5 linked regions of the Xenopus tropicalis genome follow. The protein of the gene in region 1 purifies or fractionates together with the protein of each later gene. This does not show direct contact. Links are inferred from orthologs where the notes say so. Each region holds a gene or a part of one and is shown on either strand. Other genes may lie near its edges.

What was found.
Region 2: the proteins of slc39a4 (region 1) and agpat4 purify together in Homo sapiens (affinity purification with mass spectrometry; 3 studies listed by BioGRID and IntAct, with this or other methods). This does not show direct contact. The link is inferred for Xenopus tropicalis from reciprocal best matches to the Homo sapiens genes SLC39A4 and AGPAT4.
Region 3: the proteins of slc39a4 (region 1) and abcb10 purify together in Homo sapiens (affinity purification with mass spectrometry; 3 studies listed by BioGRID and IntAct, counting the BioPlex papers as one, with this or other methods). This does not show direct contact. The link is inferred for Xenopus tropicalis from reciprocal best matches to the Homo sapiens genes SLC39A4 and ABCB10.
Region 4: the proteins of slc39a4 (region 1) and mgat1 purify together in Homo sapiens (affinity purification with mass spectrometry; 3 studies listed by BioGRID and IntAct, with this or other methods). This does not show direct contact. The link is inferred for Xenopus tropicalis from reciprocal best matches to the Homo sapiens genes SLC39A4 and MGAT1.
Region 5: the proteins of slc39a4 (region 1) and letmd1 purify together in Homo sapiens (affinity purification with mass spectrometry; 3 studies listed by BioGRID and IntAct, counting the BioPlex papers as one, with this or other methods). This does not show direct contact. The link is inferred for Xenopus tropicalis from reciprocal best matches to the Homo sapiens genes SLC39A4 and LETMD1.

Annotation. Positions count from the first base shown.
Region 1 is NC_030682.2:154,047,634-154,052,323, forward strand, and holds the end of slc39a4 (zinc transporter ZIP4), read left to right. Parts: intron 1-1,677; coding exon 1,678-1,830; intron 1,831-2,066; coding exon 2,067-2,254; intron 2,255-4,001; coding exon 4,002-4,130; 3' UTR 4,131-4,279; downstream 4,280-4,690. UniProt on the Homo sapiens protein: Selective transporter that mediates the uptake of Zn(2+). Plays an essential role for dietary zinc uptake from small intestine. The Zn(2+) uniporter activity is regulated by zinc availability.
Region 2 is NC_030681.2:53,400,921-53,404,545, reverse strand, and holds part of agpat4 (1-acyl-sn-glycerol-3-phosphate acyltransferase delta), read left to right. Parts: intron 1-969; coding exon 970-1,072; intron 1,073-2,243; coding exon 2,244-2,319; intron 2,320-2,876; coding exon 2,877-3,075; intron 3,076-3,625. UniProt on the Homo sapiens protein: Converts 1-acyl-sn-glycerol-3-phosphate (lysophosphatidic acid or LPA) into 1,2-diacyl-sn-glycerol-3-phosphate (phosphatidic acid or PA) by incorporating an acyl moiety at the sn-2 position of the glycerol backbone.
Region 3 is NC_030679.2:152,899,037-152,904,455, forward strand, and holds the start of abcb10 (ATP-binding cassette sub-family B member 10, mitochondrial), read left to right. Parts: upstream 1-2,237; 5' UTR 2,238-2,341; intron 2,342-5,419.
Region 4 is NC_030684.2:71,520,655-71,524,269, reverse strand, and holds part of mgat1 (alpha-1,3-mannosyl-glycoprotein 2-beta-N-acetylglucosaminyltransferase), read right to left. Parts: intron 1,841-3,615; 5' UTR 1,632-1,840; coding exon 1,041-1,631; intron 60-1,040; coding exon 1-59. UniProt on the Homo sapiens protein: Initiates complex N-linked carbohydrate formation. Essential for the conversion of high-mannose to hybrid and complex N-glycans.
Region 5 is NC_030678.2:142,123,463-142,128,578, reverse strand, and holds the start of letmd1 (LETM1 domain-containing protein 1), read right to left. Parts: upstream 3,269-5,116; 5' UTR 3,212-3,268; coding exon 3,132-3,211; intron 1,708-3,131; coding exon 1,556-1,707; intron 212-1,555; coding exon 96-211; intron 1-95. UniProt on the Homo sapiens protein: Plays an essential role for mitochondrial structure and function, as well as thermogenesis of brown adipocytes.

The sequences.
Region 1 (4,690 bases):
TTTTTGGTGTTACTGTTCCTTTAATTGGAGAAATTGCACCATCTTCTGGCCGTGGGTTACACTGTAGCACCTTCTGGCCGTGGGTTACACTGTGGCACCTTCTGGCCGTGGGTTACACTGTGGCACCTTCTGGCCGTGGGTTACACTGTGGCACCTTCTGGCCGTGGGTTACACTGTGGCACCTTCTGGCCGTGGGTTACACTGTGGCCCCTTCTGGCCGTGGGTTACACTGTGGCCCCCTTCTGGCCGTGGGTTACACTGTGGCACCTTCTGGCCGTGGGTTACACTGTGGCACCTTCTGGCCGTGGGTTACACTGTGGCACCTTCTGGCAGTGGGTTACATTGTGGCACCTTCTGGCCGTGGGTAACACTGTGGCACCTTCAGGCCGTGGGTTACACTGTGGCACCTTCTGGCTGTGGGTTACACTGTGGCACCTTCTGGCCGTGGGTAACACTGTGGCACCTTCTGGCCGTGGGTTACACTGTGGAACCTTCTGGCCGTGGGTTACACTGTGGCACCTTCTGGCCGTGGGTTACACTGTGGCACCTTCTGGCCGTGGGTTACACTGTGGAACCTTCTGGCTGTGGGTAACCCTGTGGCACCTTCTGGCCGTGGGTTACACTGTGGCACCTTCTGGCCGTGGGTTACACTGTGGAACCTTCTGGCCGTGGTTACACTGTGGCACCTTCTGGCCGTGGGTTACACTGTGGAACCTTCTGGCCGTGGGTTACATTGTGGCACCTTCTGGCCGTGGGTAACACTGTGGAACCTTCTGGCCGTGGGTTACATTGTGGCACCTTCTGGTCGTGGGTAACACTGTGGCACCTTCTGGCTGTGGGTAACCCTGTGGCACCTTCTGGCCGTGGGTTACACTGTGGCACCTTCTGGCCGTGGGTTACACTGTGGCACCTTCTAGCCGTGGGTAACACTGTGGCACCTTCTGGCCGTGGGTTACACTGTGGCACCTTCTGGCCGTGGGTTACACTGTGGCACCTTCTGGCCGTGGGTTACACTGTGGCACCTTCTGGCCGTGGGTTACACTGTGGCACCTTCTGGCCGTGGGTTACACTGTGGCACCTTCTGGCCGTGGGTTACACTGTGGCACCTTCTGGCCGTGGGTTACACTGTGGCACCTTCTGGCCGTGGGTTACACTGTGGCACCTTCTGGCAGTGGGTAACACTATGGCACCTTCTGGCTGTGGGTTACACTGTGGCACCTTCTGGCCGTGGGTAACACTATGGCACCTTCTGGCTGTGGGTTACACTGTGGCACCTTCTGGCCGTGGGTTACACTGTGGCACCTTCTGGCCGTGGGTTACACTGTGGCACCTTCTGGCCGTGGGTAACACTGTGGCACCTTCTGGCCGTGGGTTACACTATGGCACCTTCTGGCCGTGGGTTACACTGTGGCACCTTCTGGCTGTGGGTTACACTGTGGCACCTGTGGCAATGGACCCCCATGATAAGAACATATACTTTATAAGTCAATGGACCCACATGATAAAAAAAAGCCTCGTTTTGGCCTTCAAAAAGGAAAAGCCCTAAAGGGGAACTAAGGTAGAGGGCAATGCTGGTGGATGATTTGTGGATCCAAGTATCTTAGGGTCTCGCCAGCAGTCTCTGTTGGAGACAAACTACTCACTCTCACCATGTGATGTCTCTTTTCATTGATCCAGAGCTGCAGATGATCCCCTACATGATCACCATTGGAGACGCCATTCATAACTTTGCCGATGGTTTGGCTATAGGAGCTGCATTCTCCACCTCTTGGAAAACTGGATTGGCGACATCTCTGGCTGTTTTATGCCACGAACTCCCCCACGAACTTGGTATGTCTCACCCTGTACGCTGGCCTAGATAGAATGGAACGATAGGATGTAAGAATCTGTGACTCTCCCATTCCCAGTGCAGGGAGACAAGGGGAACCATGGGATATGGAGTCTGCACCCTCCCACTGCAGGGTGACACAGAGATGCAGAGAGAAAGGAAATATGGGGAAGGATGGGGGGGCTAAGGGCTAAGTTGTTCTGGGGGTTTGCAATGACAAGTGACTCCCTGCCCCCAGGTGATTTTGCTGCCCTTCTCCATGCCGGTCTCCGGGTGCGTTGGGCTCTACTCCTGAACTTCTCCAGTGCCCTCACCGCATTCATTGGCCTGTACATCTCGCTGTCCATCTCGGCCGATGAAGCCGTCCAGCAGTGGATCTTCACTGTAGCCACCGGCCTCTTCCTCTATGTTGCTCTGGCAGATATGGTGAGACCACCCTCTTCTTATCATAACTGTACCCCAGTATACCTCTCTATATCATCACTGTACCCCAGTATACCTCTCTATATCATCACTGTACCCCAGTATACCTCTCTATATCATCACTGTACCCCAGTATACCTCTCTATATCATCACTGTACCCCAGTATACCTCTCTATATCATCCCTGTACCCCAATGGCCCTCTCTATATCATCCCTGTACCCCAGTATACCTCTCTATATCATCACTGTACCCCAGTATACCTCTCTATATCATCACTGTACCCCAGTATACCTCTCTATATCATCACTGTACCCCAGTATACCTCTCTATATCATCCCTGTACCCCAATGGCCCTCTCTAATTCTCTCTTTGTATCATCGCTGTACCCCAACAGCCCTCTCTAATTCTCTCTTTGTATCATCGCTGTACCCCAATGGCCCTCTCTAATTCTCTCTTTGTATCATCGCTATACCCCAATGGCCCTCTCTAATTCTCTCTTTGTATGATCACTGTACCCCAACAGCCCTCTCTAATTCTCTCTTTGTATCATCACTGTACCCCAATATACCTCTCTATATTATCACCGTACCCCAATGGACCTCTCTAATTCTTTCTTTGTATCATCACTGTACCCCAATGGCCCTCTCTAATTCTCTCTTTGTATCATCACTGTACCCCAACAACCCTCTCTAATTCTTTCTTTGTATCATTGCTGTACCCCAATGGCCCTCTCTAATTCTCTCTTTGTATCATCACTGTACCCCAATATACCTCTCTATATTATCACCTTATCCCAGTATACCTCTCTATATCATCACTGTACCTCAACGGACCTCTCTAATTCTCTCTTTGTATCATCACTGTACCCCAACAACCCTCTCTAATTCTCTCTTTGTGTCATCACTGTACCCCAATATACCTCTCTATATTATAACCGTATCCCAGTATACCTCTCTATATCATCACTGTACCCCAACGGACCTCTCTAATTCTTTCTTTGTATCATCACTGTACCCCAATAGCTCTCTTTAATTCTCTCTTTGTATCATCACTGTACCACAATGTTGCCCTAATTCTCTCTTTGTATCACCTCAAACACAAGGTCAGTATGGATAATTCCCCTATAGACTTGCCAGACAGAAGGTCATTGGAGACTTTGGGCAGCACCACCTCAGTTGAATGCAGTGGGTCAGGAAGAGGTTTAGAAGAGAGAAAGTGGGTTAAGTGGTTATAAAGAGAACATGAGAAAGGGTGGTAACTGGGAGGGGATCAAGGGAGGGTCTTTGGAAGGGGGATCCCAGTGGGGAAAGGGAGACAGAAGTGCTGGACACGTGGTGGGCGAGATGTGCCCGGATTGGATCAAGGGAAGGTACCTCCTCCTTATTCACCAGGAAGAATTGTAACAGTGTGGCATGATGGGAGTGAGGGGTGTCTTGTGTGCCAGGGTGATGTTAGGGTGCTAGCCCGTGTGTGCTGGGGTGATGTTAGGGTGCTGGTCTGTGTGTGTTGGGGTGATGTTAGGGTGCTGGTCTGTGTATGCCGGGGTGATGTTAGGGTGCTGGCCTGTGTGTGTTGGGGTGATGTTAGGGTGCTGGTCTGTGTGTGTTGGGGTGATGTTAGGTGCAGGCCTATAAGGTTAGGGTTCTGTAGAGAAAGCAGACAAAGGACCCACCCCAGTGAGTATATGTGAAGGATATGATACCACGGTCCCTCTCTTTGTATAAATGACCCGGGTTCTTGCCTTTCAGCTTCCCGCCATGATGAATGTGAAGCTCCACAGACCCTGGATCCTCTTCTTTCTCCATAATCTGGGGATTCTTTTGGGCTGGGTAATCCTCCTGATTTTATCACTTTATGAGGACAATATTGCCCTGTGAGGTCACCAATCTGCCTCAGAACATTGGTTCTGACCTTCCCGGGTATCTCCTACCTGAAGACAAAGCCGGATTGTCCAAAGAACATTCTATTCTAAGTCTTTATTGGGAAAGAATGAAACCGTGTTCCATTAAACTTGCTCTCAGACTTCTTTTGTGATCCAAAAACCAAATGGGTCAGGAGATTTGTGCTGGGTCCTTGGGGAGGTATCTCTCTGTAGACTGCCGGGGGGTTCTGTAGATCTAAGTTGAGGTCCAAAGCCTCCCCCTGTTTTGCTTTCCTTTGGGAAAGAACCAAAGAGTCCATTTCAGTGAGGGGCAGAGCGGCGCCACTATGTGCCCAGTTGGGCAACTAACAGAACAAAGTCTCGGGTTTCGGGCTGGAACTGAAAACCTCACCAGAGACAGAATTTTCTTTAAGTTTCAATAAAGAAATGATTGTTGAATGTTCCTAATCACAAATGTTCTGACATAAAGATGACAGGAGCCCCCTGAATGGTGGGCTGCACAATAGATTCCCCAGGGGAGGGACGGGTTACTGGGGGAGACTGGTGCCGCTGCTG
Region 2 (3,625 bases), on another chromosome or scaffold:
TTTATTCCACAATCCTTTATTTAAAGTACAAACATACATAAACATATTAGCATAAATGGGTCCCATGTTAGCACCCATAGCGCACCCCATGTGCTGTACATAGTATTGTTCCAAAAATACAAAATAATTTTTTAATATTTCCAGGGCCACACAAACGACACTTTTTTTGTGTGGCTCAGAATTCTGCGCATGTATCGTGTATCTGACAGTATCCTTGGGGGACCTACAATGCATTTCCAGGAATTCATTTTCATCCAATTGGTGTCTGCCAAATATTTCATGTTTAGAACATCCTCTGATTTGGCTTTATGCTACAATTTCAGTCTGAATGTTAGTTTTAGATTGTTGTATTTAAATGTACAATCAATATCTGAATGTTTGTCAGAAGACTAAGATCTGAACGTGCATGGCCACCTTTAGAATTGGATAGCACTGTATAAAATATAATGTACCTATGCATATCTTGTTCAAGAGAAAGGCAAAGTTTATATTTCAGCATATTATTCCAACCAATTGCCTTTGTTTACCCATGTGAATTTGGTGTTTATAAACCAAAAGAAATGAAGCTATAGATTTCATAGAGACTTTGTTGGTTACAACCTATATTAATAAAATCCCTCAAAATGCCTGCTATGAGCACTAGAAGTGTAGGAAATTATACCAAAACAAATTCTTGTGATGTATAAGGTGATCATTTTTTTTTCCATTTTTTAATGATTGGGTCAGTGGTACCAGATAGCAGGTAACACGAGAAATAAATATAATTCTTCCAGGAAGAGGTTAATCTGGATTTGATGCTTTTCCTGGTGGCATTAAACGTTCTGTTAAATTTGCAGTGATCAAAACTGATTACTCCCTAGGATCAAAATATTAATATATGTGCAAAATATTCATTTGTGTGCACACAGGTTTTGACAGTCGTCGGTGTGCATTCTTTGCTATATCATTTCAGATTTCTTGTTTTTCCAGTTTCAGCTGTATACGACTCAACCCTCAATTTTAGAAACAATGAAAATCCTACATTGCTTGGAGTTTTGAATGGGAAGAAATACCACGCGGACCTGTGTGTCAGGTAAGCAGTTTTCCATTTAGCTTTTTAGCTTCTTGTAACTGAATGAAACTGATTTTCTTTGAATGTGTAACTTTGTTTTATAGGGAAAATGTGCTCAAAGTAAATGCCCTTGCCTAAGCATTATGTTGACAATATGCTATGAAGGTTCTGCACTCAAAGCTGTAACACAAATGCCATTTTGTGTCCAAAGCAGGTTTATGATGATGCATGCTATCACTGCCATAAACTAGTAGCAAAGGTCACTTCCCACTGCAAAGGAAAATGCCACGAGTAGCCTTCAACCCAGTATTGTTGCACGTGTGTGTTTTTTCAGGGAATAATTCATGTATAGTATATCACAATCTAAACAAGTTTGCTATTATACTAGGGGTGATTCTGAGACCAATTCCGCCCCATCCCAGACCCCCCCTTCCCTTCTAAAACAACTGAAGTGGTAAAAGTTAATGTACAGTCAGTATCTAATTCTTCTATGACTAAGGTTCATTTATATTTACACTGGTAGACCCATTACCATCTTCCCCAAAGATCTTTGGAAAATGCACAGCAAACATAGTGGCAACAGCTGGAACTTTGCTCAGAACGCACTTCCTAGTAGATGCCCGTTACCCTCATGTGTGCTTTAAAGAGCAAGTCTAAATAGCCGATCGAGAGAGTGCGGAGACTTGCAACTTGTGTTTTTTTTTTAAATATTTCGCTTTTTGTTCAGCAACTTTATTGGCTGGTGGGTCAGTGACCCCTATTGAAAGCTGGAAAGAGTCAGAAGAAGGCAGAAAATAATTTGGGCATTCTTTAAGATATTAAAAGTTAACTTAACTTAAAGGTGAACCACCCTTTTAAGCAGCCCAGAAATACGCAACCACAACACTCAAAACTTGCCCAGAATAGACTTGCATTGAAATCTCACTCCAACTGCTGCATGAAGAGATACAGATTGATGTGACATGTAATTTGATTTGATTTTAGAAGTGCTACAGAATTTCTAATTATTTATATGTGGAAAGTTTCTGGTTTTCATGAGCTGAATTTTCAATTTCACGATAGTTCTCCTTTTAAATCTGTGTATAAAAATGAAATAATATTCTAATAAGTAATCATGGGACTGTATCCTTTGCAATCTTTCTTTTGGCCATTGTGTTGATGATTTGTTGACTCTTTCCGTTTCATGTCTCAGGAGAATCCCATTAGAAGAAATCCCAGAGGATGAGCAGGAATGTGCCTCTTGGCTCCACAAACTGTATCAGGAAAAGGTCAGTATTTTTATTAATGGATATTTGTTAGAGCTGATTTTATTAACCTCGCACCAAGTTGGTATAATCATATTGGTGGTTACATGTATTTGTAATTATATTTCCATATGAATTTGCTAATTAACTATTGAAGGGGTTTTCCACCCAAAATGAAATTTTCCATACAAATAGATTTTTCCAACATATCCCATTTTAACTGGCTGGCTGCTCAAGTCAGCACTTACAATGTTGCAAAGATGCATTGAATCCAAAAACACAGATACACACGTATTTCATATATGAACTGTATTCCAGCCTACTAGATCTGAATACTGTCCCCCAGAAGAGGAAATTGTACAAAGGCCCGTAGCTGTAGTTGTAGGTTTATACTTCATCCTGAAGAATTTTTCTCCTTAAAATGAAATTGAAGATCATTCAGACAGCACCTTAGCACTTCTAAAATGAAAGGAAAATATACCTCCCTGTTTGACCTTGGGTCGTTCCGTTGGGCTTATGTAAAAAAATATATATAAACACTCTCTGAAGTAAGTAAATTTTCTTGATCTTTGTATCTTTAGGATGCATTTCAGGAGGAATACTACAAGACCGGTGCCTACCCAGGGACTGCAGTTGTGCCACCTAGGAGACCATGGACCCTTATAAACTGGATATTTTGGGCCTCTCTGCTTTCATATCCCTTATTTAAAGTGCTGGCAAACATGATCAGCAGTGGATCGTATTTTACAATTTCCGTCTTTGCATTATTAATGGTTATTGGTAAGTGCACACACATTTCCCTATACTTACACTGACTTGAATGTAGTTGTGCCTATTACACTTAGGGGCCCATTTACTAAGGTTTTGTGAGAAAAGTTAAATTTTTTTAATTTTGTTTTTTTCGAGATTTATGTATATTTTCAAGGGGAAGTTAATCCCATCATTGTTTTCGAATTCACCCATTTCCAAGTGAAACTTAAACACATCTTAAACAGCATCTGACAAGTTGGATGTAGTCGTGTGGGCCAAAATATAATGGGATTGATACAAAATTCTTTGTATCAAAGAGTTTAGCTCTTACACAAAGTAGGTTAAATAAGGAAAGGAATCTGTATTTTATTTTTTTTAACGTATATAAAATGCCCTTTCCACTCACCACAGTCTCGGCTCACCTGCATCTATAGGCTGCCTGCACTGGCTTTCTGGTTCTTTTGGTGTTTGGTGTGTGCTTCCCTCTCTACAGGGGGCTGGGCAGAGCTGGTATCTGATGAAGAGCACTATCTATTATCCTCCCCTCTTCAATACTGGTCACTAAAAACTGGTAATTAAA
Region 3 (5,419 bases), on another chromosome or scaffold:
CAGAGGGGGCACACACACACACACACACACACACACACACAGGGAGGGGCACTGGGCACCATGTTACAGAGGGGGCACACACACACACACACAGGGAGGGGCACTGGGCACCATGTTTACAGAGGGGCACCACACACACACACACAGGGAGGGGCACTGGGCACCATGTTACAGAGGGGGCACACACACACAACACACACACAGGGAGGGGCACTGGGCACCATGTTACAGAGGGGCACACACACACACACAACAGGGAGGGGCACTGGGCACCATGTTACAGAGGGGCACAACACACACAGGAGGGGCACTGGGCACCATGTTACAGAGGGGGCACACACACACAACACCACACACACACAGGAGGGGCACTGGGCACCATGTTACAGAGGGGCACACACACACACACACACACACACACACAGGGAGAGGCACTGGGCACCATGTTACAGAGGGGCACACACACACACACACACACACAGGGAGGGGCACTGGGCACCATGTTACAGAGGGGGCACACACACACAGGGAGGGGCACTGGGGCACCATGTTACAGAGGGGGCACACACACACACACACACAGGGAGGGGCACTGGGCACCATGTGTTACAGAGGGGGCACACACACACACACACCCACACACACAGGGAGGGGCACTGGGCACCATGTTACAGAGGGCACCACACACACACACACAGGGAGGGGCACTGGGCACCATGTTACAGAGGGGGCACACACACACACACACACACAGGGAGGGGCACTGGGCACCATGTTACAGAGGGGGCACACACAACACAGGGAGAGGCACTGGGCACCATGTTACAGAGGGGGCACACACACACACACACACACAGGGAGGGGGCACTGGGCACCATGTTACAGAGGGGCACACACACACACACACAGACAGGGAGGGGCACTGGGCACCATGTTACAGAGGGGGCACACACACACAGGGAGGGGCACTGGGCACCATGTTACAGAGGGGGCACACACACACACACACACACAGGGAGGGGCACTGGGGCACCATGTTACAGAGGGGGCACACACACACACACAGGGAGGGGCACTGGGCACCATGTTACAGAGGGGCACACACACACACACACAGGGAGGGGCACTGGGGCACCATGTTACAGAGGGGGCACACACACACACACACACACACACAGGGGAGGGGCACTGGGCACCATGTTACAGAGGGGGCACACACACACAGGGAGAGGCACTGGGCACCATGTTTACAGAGGGGGCACACACACACACACACACACACACACAGGGAGGGGCACTGGGCACCATGTTACAGAGGGGGCACACACACACAGGGAGGGGCACTGGGCACCATGTTACAGAGGGAGCACACACACACAGGGAGGGGCACTGGGCACCATGTTACAGAGGGGCACACACACACACACACACACACAGGGAGGGGCACTGGGCACCATGTTACAGAGGGAGCACACACACACAGGGAGGGGCACTGGGCACCATGTTACAGAGGGGCACACACACACACACACACACACACACACACACACACAGGGAGGGGCACTGGGCACCATGTTACAGAGGGGCACACACACACACAGGGAGGGGCACTGGGCACCATGTTACAGAGGGAGCACACACACACAGGGAGGGGCACTGGGCACCATGTTACAGAGGGCACACACACACGGGAGGGGCACTGGGCACCATGTTACAGAGGGAGCACACACACACAGGGAGGGGCACTGGGCACCATGTTACAGAGGGGCACACACACACACACACACACACACACAGGGGGGCACTGGGCACCATGTTACAGAGGGGGCACACACACACACAGGGAGGGGCACTGGGCACCATGTTACAGAGGGGCACACACACACACAGGGAGGGCACTGGGCACCCATGTTACAGAGGGGGCACACACACACACAGGGAGGGGCACTGGGCACCATGTTACAGAGGGGGCACACACACACACAGGGAGGGGCACTGGGCACCATGTTACAGAGGGGGCACACACCACACACAGGGAGGGGCACTGGGCACCATTTACAGAGGGGGCACACACACACACAGGGAGGGGCACTGGGCACCATGTTACAGAGGGGGCACACACACACACAGGGAGGGGCACTGGGCACCATGTTACAGAGGGGGCACACACACAGCAATAGAAGCGGAAGAATGGGCAGACATTGCCAGTACTAAAGATGGCGCCGGGCAGGAAGTAGTGTTGGAAGGAGTCGGCCGAGGTTATAAGTAGCAGCCATGTTGGGAAGGTCAGAAGTGTGAGGGAAGCGGAGCCGGGAGTTGGGGAGTGGGAACCCGAGCCCAGGTACGTGCCCTTCCCATTAACCCCCCCAGCCCCGCCATTAACCCCCCCAGCCCCGCCATTAAAACCCCCCAGCCCCGCCATTAACCCCCCAGCCCCGCCATTAACCCCCCCAGCCCGCCATTAACCCCCCCAGCCCCGCCATTAACCCCCCAGCCCCGCCATTAACCCCCCAGCCCGCCATTAACCCCCCCAGCCCCGCCATTAACCCCCCCAGCCCCGCCATTAACCCCCCCAGCCCCGCCATTAACCCCCCCAGCCCCGCCATTAACCCCCACAGCCCCGCCATTAACCCCCACAGCCCCGCCATTAACCCCCACAGCCCCGCCATTAACCCCCACAGCCCCGCCATTAACCCCATTACCCCTGCTGGGGCAGTTAGTGAGGGGGAGCTGTGGGACTGACAGGGTTACCCCTGCTGGGGCAGTTAGTGAGGGGGGGCTGTGGGACTGACAGGGTTACCCCTGCTGGGGCAGTTAGTGAGGGGAGCTGTGGACTGACGGGTTACCCCTGCTGGGGCAGTTAGTGAGGGGGAGCTGTGGGACTGACAGGGTTACCCCTGCTGGGGCAGTTAGTGAGGGGGGGCTGTGGGACTGACAGGGTTACCCCTGCTGGGGCAGTTAGTGAGGGGGAGCTGTGGGACTGACAGGGTTACCCCTGCTGGGGCAGTTAGTGAGGGGGGGCTGTGGGACTGACAGGGTTACCCCTGCTGGGGCAGTTAGTGAGAGGGGGCTGTGGGACTGACAGGGTTACCCCTGCTGGGGCAGTTAGTGAGGGGGGGCTGTGGGACTGACAGGGTTACCCCTGCTGGGGCAGTTAGTGAGGGGGGGCTGTGGGACTGACAGGGTTACCCCTGCTGGGGCAGTTAGTGAGGGGGGGCTGTGGGACTGACAGGGTTACCCCTGCTGGGCAGTTAGTGAGGGGGGGCTGTGGGACTGACAGGGTTACCCCTGCTGGGGCAGTTAGTGAGGGGGGGCTGTGGGACTGACAGGGTTACCCCTGCTGGGGCAGTTAGTGAGGGGGGGCTGTGGGACTGACAGGGTTACCCCTGCTGGGGCAGTTAGTGAGGGGGGGCTGTGGGACTGACAGGGTTACCCCTGCTGGGGCAGTTAGTGAGGGGGGGCTGTGGGACTGACAGGGTTACCCCTGCTGGGGCAGTTAGTGAGGGGGAGCTGTGGGGACTGACAGGGTTACCCCTGCTGGGGCAGTTAGTGAGGGGGAGCTGTGGGACTGACAGGGTTACCCCTGCTGGGGCAGTTTAGTGAGGGGGAGCTGTGGGACTGACAGGGTTACCCCTGCTGGGGCAGTTAGTGAGGGGGGGGGGAAGGGTCTGTTGGGACTGACAGGGTTACCCCTGCTGGGGCAGTTAGTGAGGGGGAGCTGTGGGACTGACAGGGTTACCCCTGCTGGGGCAGTTAGTGAGGGGGAGCTGTGGGACTGACAGGGTTACCCCTGCTGGGGGCAGTTAGTGAGGGGGAGCTGTGGGACTGACAGGGTTACCCCTGCTGGGGCAGTTAGTGAGAGGGGGCTGTGGGACTGACAGGGTTACCCCTGCTGGGCAGTTAGTGAGGGGGAGCTGTGGGACTGACAGGGTTACCCCTGCTGGGGCAGTTAGTGAGGGGGGGCTGTGGGACTGACAGGGTTACCCCTGCTGGGGCAGTTAGTGAGGGGGAGCTGTGGGACTGACAGGGTTACCCCTGCTGGGGGCAGTTAGTGAGAGGGGGCTGTGGGACTGACAGGGTTACCCCTGCTGGGGCAGTTAGTGAGGGGGAGCTGTGGGACTGACAGGGTTACCCCTGCTGGGGCAGTTAGTGAGGTGGGGCTGTGGGACTGACAGGGTTACCCCTGCTGGGGCAGTTAGTGAGGGGGAGCTGTGGGACTGACAGGGTTACCCCTGCTGGGGGCAGTTAGTGAGGGGGAGCCGTGGGACTGACAGGGTTACCCCTGCTGGGGCAGTTAGTGAGGGGGGGGCTGTGGGACTGACAGGGTTACCCCTGCTGGGGCAGTTAGTGAGGGGGGGCTGTGGGACTGACAGGGTTACCCCTGCTGGGGCAGTTAGTGAGGGGGGGGCTGTGGGACTGACAGGGTTACCCCTGCTGGGGGCAGTTAGTGAGGGGGGGCTGTGGGACTGACAGGGTTACCCCTGCTGGGGCAGTTAGTGAGGGGGGGCTGTGGGAACTGACAGGGTTACCCCTGCTTGGGCAGTTAGTGAGGGGGGGCTGTGGGACTGACAGGGTTACCCCTGCTGGGGCAGTTAGTGAGGGGGGGCTGTGGGACTGACAGGGTTACCCCTGCTGGGGCAGTTAGTGAGGGGGGGCTGTGGACTGACAGGGTTACCCCTGCTGGGGCAGTTAGTGAGGGGGGGGGCTGTGGGACTGACAGGGGTTTACCCCTGCTGGGGCAGTTAGTGAGGGGGAGCTTGTGGGACTGACAGGGTTACCCCTGCTGGGGCAGTTAGTGAGGGGGGGCTGTGGGACTGACAGGGTTACCCCTGCTGGGGCAGTTAGTGAGGGGGGGCTGTGGGACTGACAGGGTTACCCCTGCTGGGGCAGTTAGTGAGGGGGAGCTGTGGGGACTGACAGGGTTACCCCTGCTGGGGCAGTTAGTGAGGGGAGCCGTGGGACTGACAGGGTTACCCCTGCTGGGGCAGTTAGTGAGGGGGAGCTGTGGGACTGACAGGGTTACCCCTGCTGGGGCAGTTAGTGAGGGGAGCTGTGGGACTGACAGGGTTACCCCTGCTGGGGCAGTTAGTGAGGGGAGCCGTGGGACTGACAGGGTTACCCCTGCTGGGGCAGTTAGTGAGGGGGGGCTGTGGGACTGACAGGGTTACCCCTGCTGGGGCAGTTAGTGAGGGGAGCTGTGGGACTGACAGGGTTACCCCTGCTGGGGCAGTTAGTGAGGGGGAGCCGTGGGACTGACAGGGTTACCCTGCTGGGGCAGTTAGTGAGGGGGGGCTGTGGGACTGACAGGGTTACCCCTGCTGGGGCAGTTAGTGAGAGGGGCTGTGGGACTGACAGGGTTACCCCTGCTGGGGCAGTTAGTGAGGGGGGGCTGTGGGACTGACAGGGTTACCCCTGCTGG
Region 4 (3,615 bases), on another chromosome or scaffold:
GCCACCTCAAGATCATCTTCAACCACAATGGCTGCTTTGTAGCCCATGGTCTTGAAGATCTAAAATAAATTACAAAAAAAACTGTAAATGAAAAAAACCCAAAACAAAACAACATACAAACAACAAATGTGGCATAAGGCAATAGGGTTCATTTAACTTTGGGTTATTTTTCACTAAGGGTCTCATAATGGTCCCCCTTAGAGTGCCATACACTTGGCGCTTGTGCCGATTCCTGGAACAGAGCTAAGTGTGCTCTGGCACTGTTTGTGCATCATGCCTAAACAGCTGCCTTAAGAACAGGGCTCACAACATGATACATGCAGGTGCAATCCAGAGGAACAAAGATTGTTGGCTAACAACAGATGTATACATACAGGGCATCAATGTACAATATGAATTAAAAATATGGTACTTTGAGTCTTTGCATGTTGCACATATCTCCCCTTTTGTTAGTGAGCCCAAATATGTTAGTTGCAAAAAGTATCAGGTATTCCTGCTTACTGATAATGACTTCAAAGGATTTCAGGAAGGTTACTCTTTTCACTCACCTGAATTCTGAGTGTTATTTATGCAACAATGCAAAACTAAACATTTTAAAATGGAAACTGTTTAGCTATTAATAAACACACAATACTGATTTGTGATCATGGCACCCCAAGGCCCCCCTTCCCACGCATGCACACCCATTTAGCACGCATACGGAGCACTGGGGACAGGATGTGCTGAAGTTTTCTGCGCTTCCTGTCCCCACTGCGCCATATGTGGGCAAAGTTTCAGTGCTGCTTGGGTGACATGCCCCCCCAGGCTCAGGCCTTTGTGGCACAAATACAAATAATACAAATAATAATAATACAAATAAATGCCTAATATTTTACTTTAAAGGTTATAGATGTTATAAGGTATTTGTGTGCTTCTGAGCCTATTGTTTTATCTGCTGCAACAAATACACTTTGTCTGTACCATTTCTGAATTAATCAATTTACTCTTCACTGTCCCCCCAGCAACCTGTCTTTCTTCACTCTCGTTCAAAAATCTCTTACCTGGTTGAGTGCCCATCTGTAATGACGGGAAATTTTATAATAACCTTGAAACTTCCGGTGTTCTGGTGGGACAGCCACCTCTGAGAGATCAGGCTGCTTGATATGAGTTACAGCATCTCCATAGGAGTCAATGACCTTCCCAGTCTCCTCATGACCACAGTCTTGGCTCACTATTATGGGGAATTTTTCCGCTGAGGGTCGGTATTTTAACAATGAATCCAGGCATCTCCTCACTGAGGGACGGTCACATGCCACCACTAGGATTGGAATGACCAAAGAGAGAGGATCTGATCTCACAGGAGATGAAGTGGATGACATATTAGACTTCTTAATGGGTATTACAGGTGCTGGCCTTACATGTGAAGGAGACTGCTGGTTGTTAAGTAGGCCACTGTAGTAGTGTATTTGTTGAAGTAATCCCTTCTGTTTTTCAAGCTCAGCCTCTGCTGCTTCAGCCAACTGGATAACATGCGCAGTAAGATCGGAATGATCAGTACCACGGGACCTGCTCATGAGGTAGAGGAGTAGAATTGCATTCCATGAGATAAAGAGGGCTGCCCCCCAGGCCGCCACGCTGACCTTGCGCGGCATTCCCCTGGGGGGTCCCAGATCCAGTATGGAAAGTGATTTGAGATTTAGAGTTTTAGGTATTGCACTTCTGAAGACAAAAGAGAAACAGGCCAAGGTTCTTGTTTCTTCAAATAAAGATTAGAAGGCCAAATGAAGAGACCACCACAGCCATTAAGCAGGATTAACAGATAAATTTATTGTCTTCTGGAATAAACTTTACATCCATCCACCTACACAAAAGAAAAATATATAAAATCAACAGCTACACAAACTTTGCTCCCTTACAAAACACAAAGCCACAAATATTACTTTAAAAAGCAAGAGAAATTGAACCATTATCACACAACTTTATGCTATTTAATATGTTTTGTGCTAATATTCACAAATTAGAATCATTTCACCATTAGTACCAATGACTGTCATTATTAGCAGGATAAAGGAATTAACATTTAAGCATGTAGAATAACAGTATGTACTTTGCAATGGAAAAATGTAGAGTGCAAGATGCGTTATTAGTAGTTAGAAAAGAATGAGAATATACTTCTGTGAGGAGTTTCTGTGATATTGGTCCCTTAGACCGACTCGGCAGCTTATTGTCCCGTGTATGGGCACCAATGACGGGCCTGCGCGACTGACATCTGGCCTGAAATTGACCAGATCTCGATTGGACAGGTTTAAAAATTTAGTCGGATCGGGGACCATTGAAGACAATATGAATAGCCAAATAAAAGTCAGTCTACTCACATAACTGAGAGCAAATGCTGAGTGGCACATTTTTGAGTGATTATGTGATTGTGCAGGTGAGTGCTTTTGCTCTTAACGCCGGGGTGCCAAGACTTTGTTCCCCTAAGACGCAGCACACACATTCCCTGGCTTAGACGCAGTCTACCAGAAATTCATGGGGATCAACTGGTAGACCGCGATCAACGTGTTGGCCAACCCTGCCTTAAGGTAACCTGCATTGAGTTACCCCTGAAATTTCCAATTACAATCAACAGGAAAAAGGTGCATGTCCTAATGTGCTACTTCTTTTTCTAACAGAACAGGGTAATGTATAACTTGAAATTAACACAAAATATACCCTGAAAAACAGATCTGTTCAACTGGAGGTTGAAGATACAACAACATTACTATGGCCACAGATTTCCTTAGGGCAGTGCTGTCCAACTTCTACGGTGCCGAGGGCCGGAATTTCTCTAGCATACATGGTGGAGGGCCGCTAATGGAAGCCAGTTTTGACCACTCCCCTTTTTGAAACCACACCCACTTCAAACCACACCTATTTTATCACAATGGTGGTAGTACAGCAAAATCCCAAATGCTTGGTCCTTACTGTGGGGATATCAACCATCATTCATATGTGAAAGAATTATGTCATATTAAGATATACCCTTAAATTCCATATGCCTCCTCCTCCCCTGTGGATAGCAGAGCAACCCCCAGTACATAATTACACACCTTAGGGACCATTTAATGGCTATTTCCAACTGCTAACAAACTCCCACAACAAACCCTGCCAGGTTCACCTCCCACAAGCAGCATAGGGCAAGCAGAGTATGGCACACACAGGAAGCACTCTGCCTGTCCTAAGCTGTCTGTGCGTGCCATACTCTGTCTGCCCTACCCTGCCTGTGTGTGCCATACTCTGCCTGTCCTACCCTGCCTGTGTGTGCCATACTCTGCCTTCCCTATGCTGCCTCTGTGTGCCATACTCTGCCTGCCCTACCCTGCCTGTGTGTGCCATACTCTGCCTGCCCTACCCTGACTGTGTGTGCCATACTCTGCCTGCCCTACCCTTCCTGTGTGTGCCATACTCTGCCTGCCCTACTCTTCCTGTGTGTGCCATACCCTCCCTGACCTATGCTGGCTGTATGTGCCATACTCTGCCTACAGTACCTATGTCTGAGGTGTGAAGAAGTGAACAATGGGAGTGATTACAGTCTGAGCCTGAGGTGTGAACACTGCAGGGGGTGAACAATGCAGGTATTAAAAGGTGTGAAAAACA
Region 5 (5,116 bases), on another chromosome or scaffold:
CACTCTTCGCCTGCACACATTGAGTTAAGAAAAACAGAGCACCGTAACAAAGGCATTTTAACTAAGCAACAGTTGTAGCCCCTCTCAAAACATACCTGCCTTAATTTCTCCATTTCCCGATAAGGCAGCTGGTGGAACGGTATTCCTTGGTGGTTCATTCTTTGCTTAATGCGGCCTACTTCTTTTGCTTCTGTCATAAGCATCCTAAAGCCTGGACATTATTCAGAACAAATTGGTTGGATTTTACAATTACCTGCATGGTCAGTTCTTTGAGTTTAAAAGGGTTGTTCACCTTTAAATTAACTTTTAGGATGATGCAGAGAGGGATATTCTGATTCATAATGGGTCTTTCATTTTTATTATATGTAGTTTTTGAATTATTTAGCTTTTTGTTCAAAGGATCTCCAGATCAGAATTTCAGGGGCTATCTGGTTGCTAGTGTCCTAATTACCTTTGCAACCAAGCAGTGGTGTGAGTAATAGTTTGAAAAATGTATAGGAGAGGCCTAAATAGAAACATATGTCATAAAATATAACAACAGAATTGTAGCCTCAAAGAGCAATCATTTTGGCTTTTTGGGGTCAGTGACCCTCATTCAAAGGCTGAAAAGTGTTGGAAGAAAAAGGCAAATAATTCAGGGAAGACCAACTGGAGACCTGCGAAGAACTGCACATTCTTAAAAGTACTTAACAGACAGTTTATCTGAAGTTGAACCACCCCTTTAAGGTCAAGTGTTTATTTTCTTTTACACTTCCCAATGTCTGTGTGTATGCATACACTTACATACTCATACACTTTGCAGTATATATAGCAAACAGGAGTTTGGAAACATAATTTCAGCATGTGGCCACTTAAGTGATACTGACACTAAAAAACAACTCTTTAAAATATGAATGTACATAAAAAGTTGCCTATAGGTCATGTTGTTTTTGCTGATAGGGCTGCTTTTGTAAGCAATGGTTACTTGGAGTCCCTAAACATGACTGTCCCTTCTCAGCCTGTCAGTTATAGCTTCTAATGCTAACGGCCTACTGCTGCACAAATATTGCAGCCCCCTCATAGAGGATCATGGGGGTCAGACAGACAATGTAAAAGCATCAGGCAAATACATTTATGGCAAAATTATTAAGGTCATACAAAGACAATGTTATGATAGATGTAAAAAAAAAAAAAAAAAAAAAAAAAAAAGGGTTTAATTTCTTGTGTCAGTATCTCTTTAAGCTGCTCATTGAACACCCGTTTTTTTTGGATTTAATGTATAATTATTACCTTGCACTGAAAGCTTCACAAACTTATATCAAAATATTTGATAACACTGGGCTAATTTGCACTGGGGCAGTAACCCAAAGATAACCAAGCAAAAGATTCATTGGCTGCTATGAGTTGACTGCCCCGGTGCAACTATACCCAGCGCTAAAAAAGCTGCACCAAACAGACTTTGGTTTCTAGTGAAGCACAAAAGTAGATATCACATTAATTGAGATGGTTCTTTTTTTTCAGATTATATTGTAGATACAAGACAGGATGTGCATTCATAAAAGTGTGGATCACTTACCCTTCATGAAGGTGGAATACAAAAGATAAAAATTTGGGAACTTTCTTTCCAAGAAATGCTCGTATTTTTCATTGGCATATTTGGCCTTGGAAGCTATTAAGGAGAGCATGCTCTTCGGCTTGGAGTTTGTCGATAAATGGCATGGCTGGTACCTATAAACAAAAAACGATATATACAAGTGCAATGATAAAGTTAAAAACCATCATGAATGAAATTAACAGGTATTTGTTGCCTTAGAGCTAAACTACATTGGAGCTTTTTGTAAGATGGTGTTGGATCGAGAGAACACATCCTACAAGTGTAAAGTGTAGCTGTTTGTAGTTGCATAGTTTAAGACAGTAGGAATGACAGGTATGTGTAAAGTACATGGAAGCATTGCTGTTTGATGTGACACGCCTGTTGGAAGGGAGTGCTGCATGCTGCGTCTTCATTCAATGAGATAAAAACTGATGGTATCTGACAGACTTGTTTTTCTATAGGAAATACATCGACTGTCGGATGTAGACGCATGAACAAAACTCACCATCCAACTATCTGATTAAACTTTACTTTACAGGTGCGGCATCAAAATTTGTGTCTGATCAAAGTCTCCCATGTAGTTTAGTCCTAATGGATATAAAAACAAGCTGTGCCAGGAATACTGTTGCTCAAGCAGTGCAAGGATAAAATTAAGGCCAAGCAGTAGCTAGAGGACATATGAAAAAAAAAAAGACCAATTGCATATTATCTTAAGGTCCCCATACACAGGCCAATTCTAGCTGCCGATATTGGTCCCTTAGACCGTTTCGGCAGCTAATCGGCCCGTGTATGGGCACTACCGACGGGCCTGCCCGACCGATATCTGGCCTGAAATCAGCCAGATCTTGATCAGACAGGTTAGAAAATCTAGTCGGATCGGGGACTGCTTTGGCTCATTGATGCGGTCCCCTGACCGACTTTTCCTATACCCGTCATTTTAATTCGAATTATCCTGGATTCTACCGATATCGCCCACCAGTAGGATTGGCCCGTGTATGGGGACCTTTAGATTAACACTCTCTACATCATAGGAGAAAGAATGGTACAATCACTGGGGGACCCAAATGTTAGGCAACCTCCAGTGATTACACTGATATCCCACGCTGGGATACAGCGTATTAGAATTGATCATGGGTCTGGATACTTTTATAGGGCTCTGTATTGCTTGCTCGGTGCAGGAAAATGACGTATCTACCATAAACACAAGGCCTGGCGGCAGAAAGCACCTTATCAGATGTCGCAGCGGCTCAGTGTATCGGCTCACATGTAGAACAGTGTGTAAGGGGAAAGCTCCATATAAGAACAAATTAGTGAGTCTATAGGGGAAACACCAGGCCCTACAGTTCACCAGAAAGCCTATTCCATACAATAAAAGGTCACTGCGCTTTAGCTCAAATACGCACTGACACTTGCAGTGTGCCTGTCACAGTATGGGGCTTATTAGCCGGCAGTCAGTGAAGCAGAGAGACAGACCTAGTCATTCTAAGTAGGCTCACAGAGAATCCCTGCACTGCTCACATTACTGAGCTAAAGCTAACTGGGGCGTGTAGCTACTCACAACAGGAGGACACACTTCCTCATACGCCTGCCATCCTCGCCCATCATAAACCGGCAATTTCTTGTCCTGCACAGCGCCATGCCTGACAGCATCTTCCCGACACAGCGGCAAGGGCAAGGAAGCAGAGGTCACATGGGGATACGGAACGTCAATGCAAGAGCTGAGCGGCCATTTTGGATAAGGGCACTAAAGAGACTGTCTCAAGTCAGTGAGAATGAGGCGAGCTACATTTTAATTGTACTGTGTGTTATACATTTCCAGGTTTGCCATCACGGTAGGACAGGCAGGAATACAGTCAGTGGCCTGCTGGCGCGAAAGGGGGTGGGGTTATTCTCTAAAGGGGCGGGTTGGACAAACCTTATATAGGTCAGGGTAGAATGATTTATTTCCTTTGCAACCGTAGATACTCTTGAAATTACCCACTTACCCCTTAGGGCTCTGGCACACGGGGAGATTAGTCGCCCGCGACAAATCTCCCTTGTCACAGGCGACTAATCTCCCCGAGTTGCCATGACCCGCCATCCCACCGGCGAACATGTAAGTCGCCAGTGGGATGGCACACGCGGCGGCGCGATTTCGCGCAAATCGGCGAAAAAGACTCGTGAGTCTTTTTCGCCAATTTCCCAAAATCGCCCCGCCGCGTCTGCCATCCCACCGGCGACTTACATTGTCGCCGATGGGATGGCAGGGGGAAGGCAACTCGGGGAGATTAGTCGCCCGCGAACAGGGAGTTTTGCCGCGGGCGACTAATCTCCCTGTGTGCCAGAGCCCTTAGAGCCATTTAGGGAAAGCGTATAACAAAGTTTAAATGCAAAAGAAAAGAAAAAATATGTGTATTTATATATGTTTTATAGTGTAAGAGAAGGTTATTTTACTTGACAAACACAATAGAAAACAATTTGGAATTATTTCTTAGGGTGACAGGTCCCCTTTAATACAGACACCAGGGTGTTGCACCAGGGTCGTTCGGGTCTGCAACCACAATATTTTTGTATGACCAAAGAAAAGAATTTTCGAGCAGTTTTCGCACAGCGGAAATTATTGTGGTTATTCCACTTTTAACTAGTGAAAATTTGTGCTTTAATGAATGTGCCCACAAGGGACAGATTTATCAGAATGTGAGTTTAGGGCTTAATGCATAAAACCCCACATTCTGTTCATTCCTATGGGATTTTTAGAAGTGTTTTTTTTCAAATGCTAAGTTCTAACTTTCACCCATTGATAAATATGCTTCTAAAAATCCCATAGGAATTAATAGAATTTTTTTATAAAGCTGCCCCTCAGTATGCATTCTCTCCAATCTTAATATAGCTGGCCTTTTCACTGTATTACTTCAGCCACTGCTGTAGGCCAGTTCCACATTTTGAGAACAACTGCTGTTTTGCCTCTTTGGCTACATTAGAAACTATCAGCGGGAATAAGAAAACAATCATAGCTGCCACCAGATGGCAGGACTGCTTTCAACTTAATTTCTTAGAACTAAATGAAATTCTTTAGGTCAGTGCTAAACTAGATTTCCATTGAGACCTAATAAGATAAAGAGATTGTTGTTGTAATGAAGTGCAAGCTACATGTAGAAACACACAGGCCGCTAAAGCAGTATATATATAGGTAGTAGTGGATCAACAGGACAGCTTCAGGAATTATTATGCTAGAATATTATGATTAACACTAGCATTAAGCTTTTAAAAATGTTAACTTTAGTAGGACAATATTCCTGCAAGATAAGTTCTTGTATGATAAATATAGATTACTGTTTCTGAACTATGTGATAAACATAACATACATATTAGTGGGTATGGACATTACAGTATGGACCAGCATCCCACACGTAGAAGATATTTGAGTTGTAAAAGGTGTTTTAATTAAAAATATCAGTGATTGCTGCTGTAGAGTGTTTTATCTTACCACTCCATTGAGATCATTTCAAATCCAACAAATGTTTTATGTACCTGCAGGATCTCTGTGACAGTCAACAATTGGGG